Sus scrofa: one gene and its partners. The protein of the gene in region 3 interacts with the protein of the main gene of each other region in a pairwise test. Links are inferred from orthologs where the notes say so. Each region holds a gene or a part of one and is shown on either strand. Other genes may lie near its edges.

Region 1 (5,363 bases), on a different chromosome or scaffold from region 3:
AGCTAGCTTGCTCTTCTTTGGTTTCAATTTACATGAAATATCTTTTCCCCGTCTTTCACTTTCAATCGATTTGTGTCTTTACATCTTAACTGAGTCTCTTGCAGAGAGCATATACTTGGATCATGTGTTTTATCCATTCTGCTAATGTGTGTCTTTTGATTGGAGAGTTTGAAGTATGTACATTTAATTACTGATAGGGATGGACTTAACTATCATTGTGGTATTTGGTTTCTGTATGCCTCACAACTTGTTTGTCCCTCATTTCCTGCATTCTTGTCTTTTGTGTTTAGTTGATTTTTATAGTGGAAGTTTAAGTTCTTTTCTTTTCTTTATATTCTTTAGCAGTTTAGTAACAAAATCTCTGCTCCTGTCCCCACCCCTTTTGACTGCTGATGTCACAAAATTATATTGTGACACATTGTGTTCCCAGAAACATAAACATTCTTTTAATTGCACCAGTCTCTTAATTTATATAGAAGAAAGCTTTGGGGTTACAAACTAATTTACAGTATAGCTTTTACACTAATAACTTTCTTCTTAAATCATGTAGAAAACAAAAGTACGGTTGCAAGCCACTTTTGCTGTAATTCTGGCTTTTGATGAGTGCTCATGCATTTACTTTTATTAAGGGCTTCAGGTTACTGTCTCAGTCCTTCCATTTCACCTGCAGGATTCCCTGAGCATTTCTTGCAGGCAGGTCTAGTGGTTTTGAACTACCTCAGCTTTAGTTTTTCTGGGATTTTAAAAATGTCTTCCCCCTTTGAAGGATTATTTTGCTGAATATAGGCTTCTCCATTAAGAGGTTTGTTTGTGTTCCCCTTTATTTTTTTAGCACTTTGACAAAATCAGGTCTTCTGGCCTCCAGAGTTTCTGATGGGAAATCTGCTGATGATATATTGATGACATTTTGTATATGACAGTTCCCCTCTTCCTTGCTTTCATGATTCTCAAAAGTTTGATTATAACACATCTTAGTATGGCTTTCTTTGAGTTTATCTGACTGAGAGTTCATTGAGCTTCTTGAATATTTGTATTCATATCTTTCATCACATTGCAGGAATAATGGCTGAAAACTTCCCAAATATTCTCTCTGCTCTGCTCTTTCTCTCTCTCCTCCTTCTGGACTTCCCATGGTGCTCATCTTAGTCATTGGATGGTGTCCCACAGGTCTTTCTAGGCTCTGTTTATGTTTCCTCAGTCTTTCCCCCTGACTTGGTAATTCCATTGTCCTGTCTTCAGTCTGCTCAAATCTGCCTTTGCATCCCTCCAGTTAATTTTTCACTTTAGTTAATGGACTTTTCAGCTCCAAGTTTTCTTTTTGGTTTTTTGATCTCTTCAAATATTTCCATTTTGTTTACAGATTGTTTTCTTGACTCCCTCTACACCTTCCTTTAGTTCTTTGAGTTTCTTTAATAATTATTTTAAAGTCTTTGTCTGATATATCTGCCAGTAGGTCTCTTTCATGGACAGTTTCTATTGATTTTTTTTCTTTTGACTGGTCATACTTTCCTGCTTCTTTGTATACCTTATGATTTTTTGTTGAACACAGCATTTGAATCTAATATGGTAACTGGCACTCATTTTCTCCCCCTTTTCAGAGTTTGCTGTTTTTGTTTCTTTGATTGTTATAGGCTATTTCTGTGCCAGGGATCACCTTGAGTATAAACTAAATGTCTTCATTGGTCTTTTCTGAGCCTTTCCTTGGGAGTGCACATTCACTTTCTGCTTTTCCCCACATATGCAGTTGATTTTGAATATCCGGCTTTGCCAAAGGCAGACTCTAAGGGCAGTGGCCCTTTAACTCCTCCGGAAGTTACTTCAGCTGGAGGAGAAGGGGCTTGTAACAGTGAGGGGAGGTTCAGCAATGGTAGCAGCCCATTTCTGTGATCAGAAGCAGCAAGCAGCAGGACAGAATCTTTTTACCTACCCTGGGTAAGGGTAGGAGAGGGTAGCTGTGTTACTGTGCTCAAAATTAACTATATTGTTCAAACCTTCAATACACTTCAGAGTTCCAAAGCAGTTACTTTAGATGGATTTCTCAGCGTAGCTGTTGTCCAGGCAGGTAGGTAGATTCCTGGTGCTTCTGTTCTGTCATCTTTCCGGAATTTCAAGACCTTTTGTGTGCTGATGGGGATGACCTAGTAGAAATGGAAAAGGTCGATGTGGTGCCAGGTAAGCTCGGGTTTGCAGCCACGAGACTACATGCTGAGCCTCAGTCTTCCTGTTGGCTCCTGCCATCCTGCTCGGTACAGAAAACATTATGATGTTTCTGGTGATCCTAGTTTAAGGTTGAGCCGGAAAGATCTTTAAAAGCAATTTCAGATGTCTACAGTTATAACCACCATTTCCTTTGCACTTCATCCCACGTTTACCTACTGGTCATGGTTTCTCATCTGTAGTGCTACAACTGTGAGGAGGAGGCCATGTACCACTGCTGCTGGAACACATCCTACTGCTCAATCAAGTGTCAGCAGGAGCACTGGCACGCAGAACACAAGCGCACCTGTCGCCGGAAAAGATGAAGGCTAGTTCCTCCTGGTGAATCACTGACGATTATTCTTCTCAGACACAGCGGTTTTTGTTTCCAAGAAGCCAAAATTGTTTAGAATTTGCTTCCCATTTTGCACCAGCCTTTAAACACTTTTCGTGAAGAAATTTTGCACAGTAGTTTAAATCTTTTGTTAATGCTCCTCTGGAGTTTTTCAGGGGGTAAAAGTAACATCAGTGGAGGGTATTATTTTAAATAAATTTTAATTGAGAGTTTGTTGCATTTTCAGCAAATTTTAAAACATTTTTAGGTTTTACAGAGATTTTAACCTTTAAACAACAGATCTTTAAAAAAACAACAGGTGAATACAAGTGAGTTTAACAAAGAAACATTTAAAATAGATCTGAATGTAAGAACTGCAGAACTGCTTCAGAACTGAAACATACTACCTTGATGTGACGTTTATCTCTTAACCTTGTTGAGCTGGTTTTGTTCAGCTTAATTTACTGTTTAAAGGCATTATCTATTGGTTATGCCAGTGGGTATATGATTGAATTTAGGGAACAGGGTTGACACAGCAGGTGCTAGTCCTGCATATTTTTTCTTAAATATTTCCCAATTGTGTTTTTCATTATTTCTTTTCAATATATAACTTTTATAACAAATTATTAGCTTTGATCTTGTAGTTTAAAATTGCAGGGAACTGGGGTAATCTTTTACTGAGCTGGATCTTAGAGAAAATGAATATTTAAATTTTAAAGTTTGCACATTTCATCTTTGTCCTAACATGAGTGCTTGTAACAAAATAAACAACAAAAATAAAATAAAAAAGCCAAAAACTACCTTTATCCATACATGAAATTATAGATGAGGCCTACAAATTTCTTTAAGGCATCCCTTCCCTCCCCAGATATCATCTGATGGCCTGTTATCTGGTGTCACCTCTTATATTGTAAGTTAATACTGAAAGGAAAGAAAGCACTTAAGTTTCACAGAAGCCGTTATGTTTGTAGTAATGGATCATTGCCTACTAATGAACTCCATCACTGTACACAGAATGAAGAATAATGCATGTTAATTTTCTTGTATTAAAAATGCCGTGATTTGTAAAAAGTCTGTATTTTGCGGAATGTCTGGATTAAGAAGCATTACCAATAGGAATGGATCGATAGTTGAATAATGATTTTTTTTATACATAGATATATAAAATACAGCCAGGAAAACTTAAATTACTTTTTTTAAAAAAAAACTCACAATTTATGTTTTTTCAAATACTGATCTTAGACCAAGTCAAATTCCCATTTATCATTTAGTTATTTTTTAAGGTTAGAGAAATAATTTGTAAATATTTATTTAGACCTTTGATATTTATTAAAGCAATTACACACAATGGAAGTGAAAGAATCAGGGGAAAAACCTTTTAAAAAGTTTTCTCCAGGTTTGTCAGGGTCACTCTAAAGATGAAAATGTAACTAAGTCTTCTGTGAAATCGTCCTCCAGTTCTGAGGCTGTTGCAGGTGGTGGTGACACGAGTTAATCGACAAGCTGCTGCCCAGTGGTGCCCAAAGGCTTGTAGGACCTGCCTGGTAGCCCCCTTTCAAACACCATCCCTGAACTGTGCAGGGAGCTGGCATTCTCGTCCCTCCTTGCTGCCATGCGATTAGTCGGTGTTGCCACAGTGCTGTGGTCGGATCAAGACGTTGTAACCAGGAACACTTACTTTCTCTGATTGTTTTTCAAGTTTTAAAACTTCGATCCACCCCTATGAGAACAAGTTATTGTGGAACTATTTTTGGTGTAAAATCATTCCAGAGTGTGTACTATTTACCAATAGCTGCATGAAAGTAAGATTCGTGTTACTTTGGCTTTTTGTCTCCGTTGACACGGTTGCACATTTCCAAGTTACTACAGCGTGAAAACTGTGTGTTAAAAAAAAAAAAAAAACAAATTAAAAAAAGATTGTGGCCTGGTTTTGTAAAAGTTTTAGGTAAAATTACAATTGATTGTTTTAGGAACTATTATTAAATTTTTCTGCAAATCATAAAACTATATCAAGGTGTTGAGCTTAGCCACTCTGCACATTGTAATTATTCATTGTGGCTGTCCAGTTCTATGATGCATTCTGGCATTTTGTAAGCTGCTCTGACTAGCAATATATAGATTCATTTAATGTGTTAACATTGGTTAATAAATGTATTTAAAAAAAACTGGCTTTAATACATTGATTGAGTCCATTCTCCAGACCAAAACAAACACAATTGTATCACATGGTGATCATATACTGTGGGCTCGCCACTCACTGGTGACTATTTATATAAAATCAGTGTGTGAAAAATAAACATTTATTTAAGTTGAATTTACTTTTACCAGGTCTCAAAAAATTCAGGTTTGTTTGACTACAAAGCCCTTCCTTAACCCTTATGCTAGGCCAAACATACAGATTGAATGATTTTCTATGAACATTTGAAAAATCAGGCCATATCCTCCATTTCAGTACATGTAGAATCGAATCCCTCATCTCACCCTGTGTCATTCCACCTCTCCAACCAACTCACATGATGCCAGTCTCCATTCAGGCCAGCGTCACCCTCCTGGCCAGACCATGAGGCAGCAAGCGACTTGACCCTCTTCACCTTCGCCTCCGGCTCATCAGGCTCACAAGAGAGCTTGTTAAAACATTGCTGGGTCCCACCCCCAGCGTGTTCATTGCTTACAAGTTCCCCAGTGTTGCTGATGGGGCCATCCTTCCATAACCACTGCTTTACTGATGAAAATAAAAACAACAGACACTTTCATGAAAAATACGCACGCACAAAGTTTCAGTATTTTACAGATTCCTAGGGTCCATCAATAGACTTCCCACTCTTACGAGGAT
Region 2 (5,467 bases), on a different chromosome or scaffold from region 3:
TCATGGTTTAGAAGCTTTACCCTTTAACGTCTCCAAAGTCACACTGATGTTAAATGGCTCAGCCAAGATTCAGCCTGGGCCTGGGCTACCTGAATCTTTATACTCTGATCACTTCCCTGTACTGTTTCCTTGAGCAATTCAAAGATGCAAAGTGCAGAGACAGGAACCTTTGCTCTCAACTTGGAAAAGGCAGGAGAAAGGGCCAATAACACTGAGCAGAGACATCCTGTAAAACTGTGACGCTCCGGACACCATGCAAGGTCCCATGACTGTCACCGTTAGCAGCGAGAGTGAAAGAGGGTGCGTGTGGGGGTCAGAGAGGTGAATGAGGAGCACCACGAAGTCTCACTCCAGCAGAAAGATGACATGTGACCATTGGATGGCAGCCACGTGATTAATGTCCAGCTGAATTATGTCAGGGACAGAATGCAGTTAAGGCCTTGCCTGGCTAGATCTCAGGCTGAAAATCACCTGTTTCCTTTCCCCCCACCCCTAATCCTTTATAATTTCCTCTAGTACTTAGGACCAAGAGCCTCTGGGGAGCAAAGCAAGGCCCATCTGCTGAGCCAGGTATTTGCAAGACCAAAATGAAAGTCAAACTCACTTTTACTGTAACATAGCATTTACAGGATCCCAAATACTTCCAAATTATATCAGCCAAAAATCACTTTGCATTATTGCGAATTGCATTCCAAAAGAGAGATGTCAGGGATACTCTTTAAAACAGACAATCACTGGCATTCCCATCATGGCGCAGTGGAAATGAATCTGACCAGGAACCATGAGGTTGCGGGTTCAATCCCTGGCCTCACTCAGTGGGTTAAGGATCCGGCATTGCCATGAGCTGTGATGAAGTTGGCAGACACAGCTCAGATCTGGCGTTGCTACAGCTGTGGTTTAGGCTGGCAGCTACAGCTCTGATTTGACCCCTAGCCTGGGAACCTCCACATGCTGCGGGTGCAGCCATAAAGAGCGAAAAAAAAAAAAAAAAACCCACCAGATAATAACTGGGCTTCCACCAGTGAAGTGAAGAAATACAATAAGTGTGTTTCTTTATAATGTGCTTTCTCTAGAAGCTATAGCAAAATATTCATAATCACCTTGTAGGGAAGGAAAAAACATTTAGAAATGCCTTTTTTTCAAATATTTTATTTCTTTTATTAGAAGACATATAGATAAAAACTTGCATATTCTGAAAAAGATAGAAAATGGTAATAAAATGAGCATTTTTCTCATTAAGAAATATGTTCATAAATATGCTTTATCAAATGTTAAAATGGTTGTTATTTTGCAAAATAATAATAAATAGAGCAAAGCTGTGGTATACAAGGGTCAACCCAAAGTATTGGAAGTATTATGTCTCATGTTTTATAAAAATTCAGACCTTCGATTATATTCAAAAACTTTGCATTGTGCGCTCCAGGTTCTCAATAATTCAGATTTTAAAAATATTTTTATGATGCCCTTATGATTTGAAAAATAATGAAACACAAAAGGTGGTTTGATGCAATAGAATTTGGCTAAAATAATTTTCCCCTAAATAAAAAATTATAAGACACAGTCGTAAAGAGAGAATTTTTGAACCCATTAGTGGTACAGGTATCAGTTCCCAATTCTACAAATTTCTGGATCCCCCACTGTGGGCATTGAACAAAAAACTGTTTGCTAAGCTTTAGTTTCCAGCAAGTCCATCATTTCTTTTCACAGCTTCATGGAGCATCATAGTCATGATTGTGATGAGCCCCGTCGGGCAATCCTAGCTCCACGAATACAAGGTACAGAGAAAGAAGTTCTCCCTCCTTTGAAAAATTCCTTTGACAGCCTTCCTATATCTATGACCCACTGATTGGCCTCAGAGTCACATATCAGAACACCGGGCAACATCTTAATAAGAAAAAGTTCTTGCCTAGGCACTCATCCTCTACAAACCAAAGGAGAGAGGAAACACATGTGAACACCAACCACGCTCTCTCGAGTCTCGGGTGTCCATGTAGCAAAGGTCAGGCTTTTCATGTAAATAAATACTGACTCTTTACAAAGATCTTTCATTTCCCATGCATTAATGTTGCCCACCAGCGAACATGTTAGTTCCCAGCTACAACAGGGGAAGCCACATCTTACACTACTTAAGAATCCAATCTAATATAGATTATGGGTCCCAATGGCCTTCAGTGACGTCCATCGGGGGACATCTGGGTGACTCTGGGTACCTAGAGCACAGAGAGGTCATGGCAGGATTTGGACTTGAGCTTGAAGGCCATGTTCTTGTTGTTTTTGGCCACGATCTTGCCCCAGAAGCGTCTGGCTTTCCTGGGGATGCTCTCCCTCCTCTTCTGATAGGCCAGTCGCCGCTCGTTTTTCTCCTTGCTGTCCCGCCGGAGTCGGACCTGCCGCACGATGCCCTCAAACAGCTCCTTGACGTTGTGCTGGACAGCCGCTGAGGTCTCAATGAACTTGCAGTCGAACACCACAGCACACGCTCTGCCTTCTGGTTGGGGGTGGGGTGGGGAGGAGAAAGTCAGAGGGGCTGCAGAATAGCATCCCCCCCCACACACACACAGCCAAGCTGGATGAATCCTCTTTTTAAATGGTCCTCAAGGTAATGCTAAGTCCATCACACATGCAATGGATACGGAGGCCCCTGGGACCCGTGTCCTCCTGGAGCTTAAACAGCAGAATCTCACAGGAAGATTGCCAGAAGCAGGAGAGATGGGCTTTAGATCTGGCCTGCCAAACCCTGTGTGAAGGTCCAATTACATCAAATATTGTCAAATTCCATCCAATACTAAAAGCCATAGCCTTAATTTATTGCGCTTACTATGTGCCAGGAACTGGGTTAAATACTTCATAAACATTTTTTTGTAGCGTTACTGAAATGTAGTTGATTTACAATGTGTTGATTTCTGCCGTAGAGCAAAGTGATTCATACCTATATATACATATGGAAACGAATATGAAAAAGAATATATACATTATGGTTTATCAGAGGATATTGAATATAGTTCCCTGTGCTATACAGAAGGATCTTGTATAAACATTTTTTAGACATTCCCAACTATCTTTAAAAACACATTATCCCTTTCCAGTAGATGATGGGGGGGGGGGGTCCTTTAAAAACTTGAGGGAGTTCATATAACCTGTAAGTGGAGGATCTGAGTCCAGACCCGCTTCACTCTCAAGTTAAGAGAACTTTCTCTTGACTCAGTTTTCTGAATTGAAAATAAGGATGTGTGTACACATATAACTGAGTCACTTTGCTGTACAGCAGAAATGATCACAGTATTGTAAATCAACTCTACTTCAATAGAAGTTTAAAAAATGAATAAAGAAACAAAAAGAATCCTACTTAAAAAAAAAACTATTTAAGCTTTCATGAGTTATTTTGAAAAATTTTGAGGATCTTCACACATGTACAGTGTAATTATGGCGAATGATACAAAAAAAAGCTTTTCTGAAACAGTCTCAATTTCAAATGCTCCATTGTGTTCAATGACCAGGTGTCCAAGTTTGGTTTTGGAAAAAATGACTCCTGCAGACAGTCATTTCCTAAGAGTAAGACATTCCCAAGCTGGCTGGGTCTGTTTAGTCTTTAACAGCATTCTTTTCTCCTGGGCGGAGCCTGGCAATGCAGTATTTTGTTTTTTCACCCTTGTACCAAATTTGAATTAGGCCAATAAAATTTTAAGAGCCCCTAGGGAGTTCCTGTCATGGCTCAGTGGTTAACGAATCTGACTAGGAACCACGACGAGGTTGCGGGTTTGATCCCTGGCTCCGCTCAGTGGGTTAAGGATACAGCGTTGCCGTGAGCTGTGGTGTAGGTTCCAGACTCTACTCAATCTCACGTTGCTGTGGCTCTGGTGTAGGCCGGCGGCTACAGCTCTGATTCGACTCCTAGCCTGGGAACCTCCATGTGCAGTGAGTGTGGCCCCAGAAAAGACGAAAAGACAAAAAAAAAAATTAAGATTTTAAGGGCCCCAAAGGCACTGGGTGCCAACTCAACAAATAGGAATCATGCCTGAACTAAATACGACAAAGTATATGTGATGCCATTGGACTGGCACCTTAACTGGAAAGTTAAGGTTAAGGTTATTCAGGAAGCAAAGGGTAGGGGCTGGAAGGGTGTTTCTAGGGTCTACAGGAATCAGAGGCAGCCAGAGTAGAATTCTTAATCTCAATAGTTTCTTGAAATCAAAGTTCCCATCCTTCTTGCATGAAGGTGCTACTTTCACTTCCTGGGACTCTTGAGAGATGTCCCTGGAGAATAGAGAGGATGAGAAAAAAGGGCTGGGAACTGCCAGTAAACCCGAGTATGACCTCTTCTCTAAAAGAATTCCAGGGAAAGCTTGGGGATGGAGAGACTGAAATCCTGCAGGTAGACCAGATGATCTATTGGGAATGTGGGTGTCTTCGAGTGTGCGTAAAACTCCACGTGGCATCTTAAGAGTCCCTGGTTCCAGCTTTGTGTAAGAGGAAGGGAAGAGCAACTGTTTAAAGGAAAATACCCAAGACCCAGAGATAGTGTCTGTGGTAACTGGCACCACTCCTCTCACCTGATACAGACACTTCCCGGCACCGTACCAGGTCACTTTTGTTGCCAACCAAGATTATAGGAATGTCCTCTGTCTGCCGGGCCCTGCGGAGCTGGATTCGCAGCTCAGACGCCTTCTCGAAGCTGGCGCGGTCCGTGATGGAGTAGACAATCAGGTAGGCATCCCCGACTTGCATGCAGTGGTCTTGGAGCCACTCGTTCTCCCCCTAATGAAATGAGAAGAACTCCCATTGAGTTCAGATGAGCTGGTAAATGAGGTGTCCGTTTGAAAGAAACCATGCGTGTATCCTAAAGTATCCTTGCTGATATGAGAAAGAAAGAAAATTCATTCCGACTCCCCAAAAGGCATTGGTCTTCCATGCCTACAAGATGTCTGTGGCTACAAAGACTGCTGGCTCATGGGGTACGGATGCCAAGAAGTTTTACTTTCTGACTCCTTTCACAGCTTGAGTTGATAAATTATACAATGACTCTGCCAAACAGTATTTCCAACTTTATTTAAACTACCCCAAATGAGCCTTTCCTGGCTTTCAAAAAACTCTTTCGCCTCTTCCAACCGATGAAATCAAGAATTCCTTCATCAGCATCAGAAGGTTCTCGATAAACAGAAAATCTAACGTATATGCTCAAAAGCCCCAGATCTCTACAAAGCACATGCTGAAAACTAGGATGGAGAGTATCAAGGTCGTATAATACGGTTTTACACAGTTTAAAATGATCATCCATACTTATTGGCACTTTCCCTACAACAAATTGACTTTTTGGTATTTCTGAATAGAAGGGCAAATCACTGCAACTTGCTTGGTATTCAAAGCTCATTTATGAACAACTTGTTCCTTAGAACAGTTTCATTCTTTAGAAGTCAATGCTTTTAATCAAGAAAATGAGTTCAACTCATCTGGAACTGCCCACAAAGGA
Region 3 (5,882 bases):
TGGAGTAGAGTCTAGGAATATAGCTATTTCACACATGGGAAAACAGAGAGGTTAAGTAACTTGCTGCAAGTCACCCAGCTAGCAACTCAAGAGGCAGCGCCAGGACTCTGACCCTACCAGGCTACCTCTGCTGAGGGCTGGAGCCCAACTCAGGCTGGAAAGACTCCCTGACCCTCTGGCTGGGTTTAGGGTCTGGATCCCCTATCTTACCTCCAGTTCAATTCAACCCCTTACAATGGGCATGGGGAAGTGACACCCTTGAGGGGAAGTGACTTACTCAAGGTCATGGTGAGTCAGTAGAAGGGAAACCAGGTCTGGCCACTCCCTCCCCACATTGGGGCCTGGGAAGTGTGAGCTAAGCCTGAGGTGGGGGGTATGGGGTGGGCAGAAGCAGCTGGCTCCCAGGGAGGGGCTGGGGAGCTGGGGACTACTCCTCCCCTGGAGTGAGGAGGACAAGAAGCACAGGAGAGATAGGGGAGCAGTCTGAGAGGTAGAGACAAAAGCAGAAGAGAGGTGGGGGGTCGGGTGTGTCTGGAGAGAGAAGCAAGGAGGCCCAAGGGACCGGGGAGGGGAAAAGCCAGGGGGTTGGACACTGCACGGAGGTGGGGGGTGAGTCAGCCTGAGGGCTCCACGGAGCAGCCCAACCCCCAAATCCCAGACGTTACCTCATCTCCCAGGCTCGGGCCCATAGCCAGCCCTAGCCCCTCCCTCCCCACTCCACGCTGGGGTCAGGGTAGAGGGAGAGAGGGCGGGCCCAGCTCAGAAAAGACCACCCTACACACCCGCCCACCCACCAGGGCCTAGGTCCAACTCCAGGGCTGGGCTCAGCTGGTGGCCCCACCCACATGCTAGGCCTGCTGACAAGGGAGCCTGGGCTCAGGGTGCCCCCAGCAGGCCACATCTGAAAGTCCATCCCCTAGGCTACTTTGTTGCCCATCCTCACCAAGGAAGAAACTGAGGCTCAGAGGCCAAGCCAAGGCCTACAGCTACCCAGTCACACTGGCTAGCACTTTCCCAGGGAAGGGGTATACAGGGGGAGGTTTCCAGGGCTGGAGAGACTCGAGAATTGTGTACAGGGTGGGTATATGTGGTAGGGAGATCACTGCCCTTAGCTACCCTTCCGGCAGCGCAGCTCCCAGGGTAGGATCCCTGAGAACAGTGACAGCCTAGCTGTTCTGGCCACCAAGCCCAATTCCGACAGACTCTGCTTTGGGGCCCCCTTGAGCTCAGCTGCGGCTGGACAACCCTCCGGCCCCCTCTAGGCTGTGCTTGCCCTGGGCTTCCTGCCAATAGCTGCCTGCCCACCAGGAGCCTGGGTGGGTCTCTCTGGATAAGCGGATATGGGAGCAGGAAGTCCCCACCTCCTCCTGAACCCACCCTCCACCCCCCACCACAGTGAGAGATACCAGCCCAAGGGCTGGACTCTCTCTCAGGGCAGGCAGCTTGTTTTACATGTCCCACGGCCGATCCCATGGCTAGAGCCACAGCCTGGGGGCGATGAGCTGAGGGGCCCACTGATGTGGTCAGGGGTCCAGGCCCAGACCAGCCTTTTTCAGCCCTGCAGACTCCAGCCACCAGTTGGCCATCCCTGCGTGGGGCTGCATTCTTGGGCTTATAAGGCAATCCCCCTGCCACAGGGAGGAGCCGGCCCCTAGCTCCACCCCCACCAGGACAGGATCTCAGAAGCTGAAGTCAGAGTCCTAGAGACCCATCCCAACCCCTGCTTGGGGTCAAAGCCCACTCCATCCTGAATGGGACCAGTGGATGGGATGGAAGGTCCTCACACAGGCCGGGGAGAGGCACCCCTCACACACACAGACTGCTGGCCATCCCTGTGGCTGAATTCCAATCCCTGTTTTGCCACGGAGTTGCTGAAGGAGCCCTTTCACCTCTCCGAGTCCTGAGTTAGCTCATCTGGAAAAACAGGATGACAGTTGCTATTCCCTGGGTGGCAGTGAGAATGAAGTGAGATCCTGCAGTCAGAGAGCCCTGCCTGGGGCCTAGCTCCAAGCATTGCTCTCTCAAGGAGCTTAGACACTTCCTGGAGACCTCAGAATGGGCATCCCCCTGGGCCTTGGAGGTGGCCACAGGAGCTTCGTGGAACAGCATCAGGTACAGTGCAGTGCTAGGGAAGTGTGGGGGCTCCTCTCCTAGTATCTCCCTAGTTAGGTTGGTAGTCTTCGTGGCAGTGCCCACATATCTGGACCTGGGCACCTCCTGGCCTACCGGCCGTGGCTCACTCCTGTTCAGGCTCTTTCTGTCACCCACTGGAGATCTGAGCACCCCAAGACCCCTGGGGGAGCCCCTCCCTCAATCTAGGCTCACCCGGGAGATGGAGAGGGGCACATTGAAGTCCTTGCCCCCCTGCAGCCGGAAGCCCCAAGGTGCTGGCCCCTCCAGCACCACCTTGAAGGAATCCATGGTGCCGCTCCTGAGAGGAGAGAAAAGGTGAGCAGCTGGCATGGTGGGTACACAGGCAGGCCTAGCTCTGGACATCAGGCTTGGACTAGTGCCAGGAAGGCACGAGCAGACGCTGAGCACACCCAGGGCAAGGGTAGGAGGGTAACTTGTTAAGTTTGGCTGGGCTGCTAGCTGGCAGACTTCACTTTGGAAAGGCAGCGGCAACCCCCCTTCCCCAAGGGACAGGGTGGGTGAGGGGAGCCCGAATCCAGCCTTGAGATTCTTTTCATCCAGGAGTGGATCGCAGGGCTAATTTGGCTCTGGCTTCCCCCCAAGCCATCCTTGAGCCTGGAACTAGACGGCAAGGCCAGTCCGGGGCCGGCGTTCCTCCTTTCCCCCGCCCCCAGGTCCCGGCAGGCAGGCCACGGCTGGAGCCTGCTCGGACTATATAAGGCGTGTAAGCTGACACTGTGCGGAGAGCCAACGGAGGGAACACACGGGGGCTCGGGACGCGAGGGGGAGGGGAAGGGGGGGAGGCGGCTGGAGCGGGTACTAGCCATTCCCGGACTAGTCGAAGCTGCCGTGACCCAGGGCGAGACCCCTGAGCGCTGGGGGAACTGGGCGGGTGCGCGGCCCCTGCGTAGGTCGGTGGGGACTGGGACTTCAAAGCGTGGCCAGGAAGGGAATTCATCCTAGAGTTCAGTGGGGGTGATGCCTCCCCCACAGGCCTACCCTCCTGACGTGACTCGGTTTCCCCCTGGTTCCCCGCCCCGGCCCCATGCATTGGCCGAGTCCCGGGGGCAGGAAGCGGCGCAGGCGCCAATCGGCCCCGCCGCAGCCGGCTTCGCCTCAGGAAGGCGGGGGCGGGGGTAGCGGCTCCCGCACGCCGGAGGAAGCGCAGCTTTGGCCACGACCCCTAGTGCCCGCTGTGGCCCCTAACAGGCCTCTGCCCCCCCGCCTGGCCCAGCCCGAAACGCCCCGCACAGTCGCCTGTACCTGCTCGGCCCCTCCGGGGCGCTGCTCAGCAGCGGGCTCCAGAGAGCCGCGCTGGGATCCGCCGCCCGCGTTCTGGCCCCGCCCCCGCCGCAGACATCAGTTATGAGCCCGCTGGAGGGGGCGTGGCCTGTGGCCACGCCTCCGTCAAAAGTTGAGCCCATGAGCAGTCTCCCAGGCAGTAGGAAGCCCCGCCGAATCCTTCCGTACCGCCCAATCACGAAGTCCGGTCTCTCTTTGCGCTGTAAGGCAAGGCTCTCCCTGGTCCCCTTAATGGGGCGGGGCCTGGGTAGGGTGTGGGGGGGTCTGGGCTGCTGGACAGCCCAACCCGCGGCTCGCCCAGCCCCTTGCGCCTCCCTCTGGCCGAGTGAAAAGCAAGTCACCAAGCAAACCAGGCAGATCTGGACCTGAGTCATCTCTAAACCCTAGTTTCCTACTGGGAAAGTGGGACAGTAATACTCGCCTCACAGGCCACCGTGAAGATAGGCATAGTTTGGCGTAAGGCACAGCCATTGATAGCTCAAGAATATCTAAATCGGGAGTTCCCGTCGTGGCGCAGTGGTTAACAAATTTGATCCCTGGCCTTGCTCAGCGGGTTAAGTATCCGGCGTTGCCGTGAGCTGTGGTGCAGGTCGCAGACGCGGCTTGGATCCCACGTTGCTGTGACTCTGACCAGTGGCTATGGCTCCGATTAGACCCCTAGCCCGGGAATCTCCATAATGCCGCTCCTGCGGCGAGCGGCTCTAGAAAAGGCAAAAAGACACACAAAGACACACACACAAAAGGAATATCTAAATCGGACAGACTTGGTCTGGAAGAGGGAGGGGGTGAACCTTGGAGGTGGGGTTAGTTGAGGTCGACACAGGGGGAGCTTACAGTTAAGTTTGCAGAACACTCCACCAAAGGCAGCAGACAGAGGTATAAAGGCCTTTGGCTCCGCCCCGACCCTATGCCCTGCCCTCACTCCTACCCCCTGACCCTCCGAAGGTTTAGGGCTGACCCCCAAACTGTCGAGATAGTCCTGGTACCCCACTCCAGAGTGGGCAGCGCCTCCAGTGGGGGTTTCACAGACCCCACAGCCCCAATGCTAGCGCAGTGGGAGGAAATTGACCAGGGATCAGGATGGGCATCCACCCCTCACCTCCTTCTAGGGCATGGCTGTGGCTACTCTCCTACCTCCACCATCATCATTACATTTCCCCCTATTCTGCATCATTCCCCTCATAATATAAACTGTAAGAATTTTCACTTTTTTTTTTTTTTTTTTTTTGGCCTTTTCTCATTATAGGGCTGCACCCAGGGGCATATGGAAGTTCCCAGGCTATAGCCGCCGGCCTATGCCACAGCCACAGCAAGGCCACAACAGGAATTCCAGTTACTTCCTAATTTAAACTTTCATTTTCCCCACCTCCCTAACTCCTTCCTTACTTCAAGGAAAAAAAATAAAAACAGTGTTCATCTGGTTAGGCCAGTAAAAATCATGAAGTTTTCCTTCCTTTCTCATCTGTGTCATACCTCAGATTCTGTAGATTCCACCTTCTGACTCTATTCCACACCTGGCTGCCGTGTTTGTCCTTGCCACTTGTCTCGTGCTTGGACATCTCAGCAGTCTCTTAACAGATTTCCCTCTTTCTACCCTTGCCCAGTCCCCAGTCTTCTTCAAAATGGTATTTTTAAAGCAGAAATCACACCATACACCTTCGGCTTCTAGCATTTCAGTGGGATGGAGTTGCACCTAAGATAAAACTAAAGTCTTTCAGACACTAATAAACTACCTCCCCCACTTCTCCTGGCTCACTCTGCTCCAGCCATTCTGCCCTCCTCACTGTAAATACAGCAAATACATTCCTGCTTTAGGGCCTTTGCACTTGTGGCTCCTTCCGCTTGAAACACTTTCTCCCAGATATCTAAATAGGTTCTCAGAGTTCCTGTTGTGGCACAGTGGGTTAAGGACCTAACATTGTCTCTCTGAGGATGCAGATTCGATCCTTGGCCTTGCTCAATGGGTTAAGGATTTGGCATTGCCATAAGCTGTGGCATAGGTCACAGAAGCAGCACACATCTGGTGTTGCCAGGACTCTGGTGTAGGCAGCAGCTGCAGCTCTGATTCAACCCCTGGTCCAGGAATTTCCATTTGCTGCAGCTGCACCCATGAAAAAGAAAATAAATTTTTTTTAGCTAAAATAAAATAAACAACAAGCTCTCTCACTCTGCTCAGTTCTCTGCTCAGATGTTGCCTCCTCCTTCTTTGGTCATCCTGTCTAAAACAGCAGCCTGACTCCTCACCCACATCACGTACTAGTGCCTTATCCTGCTTTATTTTTCTCCATAGCACTAACTACCATGGGACATTATATTAAGTGTTTGTTTCTTCGTTGCCTTTGTCCCTATTAGAATGTCAGTCCTATGAGAGCAGGGGCTTGTCTGTCTTGTCCACCATTTCCCCAGTGCCTGCACACAGTGGATATGAATGAACAGATGAAGGAAGG

The links.
Region 1: the proteins of PDLIM7 (region 3) and ZMYND11 interact in a two-hybrid assay, tested with the Homo sapiens proteins (2 studies listed by BioGRID). The link is inferred for Sus scrofa from reciprocal best matches to the Homo sapiens genes PDLIM7 and ZMYND11.
Region 2: the proteins of PDLIM7 (region 3) and GEM interact in binary tests that used the Homo sapiens proteins (3 or more experiments, as listed by UniProt). The two-hybrid records come from large-scale screens. The link is inferred for Sus scrofa from reciprocal best matches to the Homo sapiens genes PDLIM7 and GEM.

The regions. Positions count from the first base shown.
Region 1 is NC_010452.4:69,158,788-69,164,150, reverse strand, and holds the end of ZMYND11 (zinc finger MYND domain-containing protein 11), read left to right. Parts: intron 1-2,399; coding exon 2,400-2,522; 3' UTR 2,523-4,695; downstream 4,696-5,363. UniProt on the Homo sapiens protein: Chromatin reader that specifically recognizes and binds histone H3.3 trimethylated at 'Lys-36' (H3.3K36me3) and regulates RNA polymerase II elongation. Does not bind other histone H3 subtypes (H3.1 or H3.2).
Region 2 is NC_010446.5:42,467,604-42,473,070, reverse strand, and holds the end of GEM (GTP-binding protein GEM), read right to left. Parts: intron 4,756-5,467; coding exon 4,551-4,755; intron 2,489-4,550; coding exon 2,211-2,488; 3' UTR 1,130-2,210; downstream 1-1,129. UniProt on the Homo sapiens protein: Could be a regulatory protein, possibly participating in receptor-mediated signal transduction at the plasma membrane. Has guanine nucleotide-binding activity but undetectable intrinsic GTPase activity.
Region 3 is NC_010444.4:80,450,633-80,456,514, reverse strand, and holds the start of PDLIM7 (PDZ and LIM domain protein 7), read right to left. Parts: upstream 3,503-5,882; 5' UTR 3,397-3,502; intron 2,432-3,396; 5' UTR 2,422-2,431; coding exon 2,326-2,421; exon of another isoform or gene 1-2,325. UniProt on the Homo sapiens protein: May function as a scaffold on which the coordinated assembly of proteins can occur. May play a role as an adapter that, via its PDZ domain, localizes LIM-binding proteins to actin filaments of both skeletal muscle and nonmuscle tissues.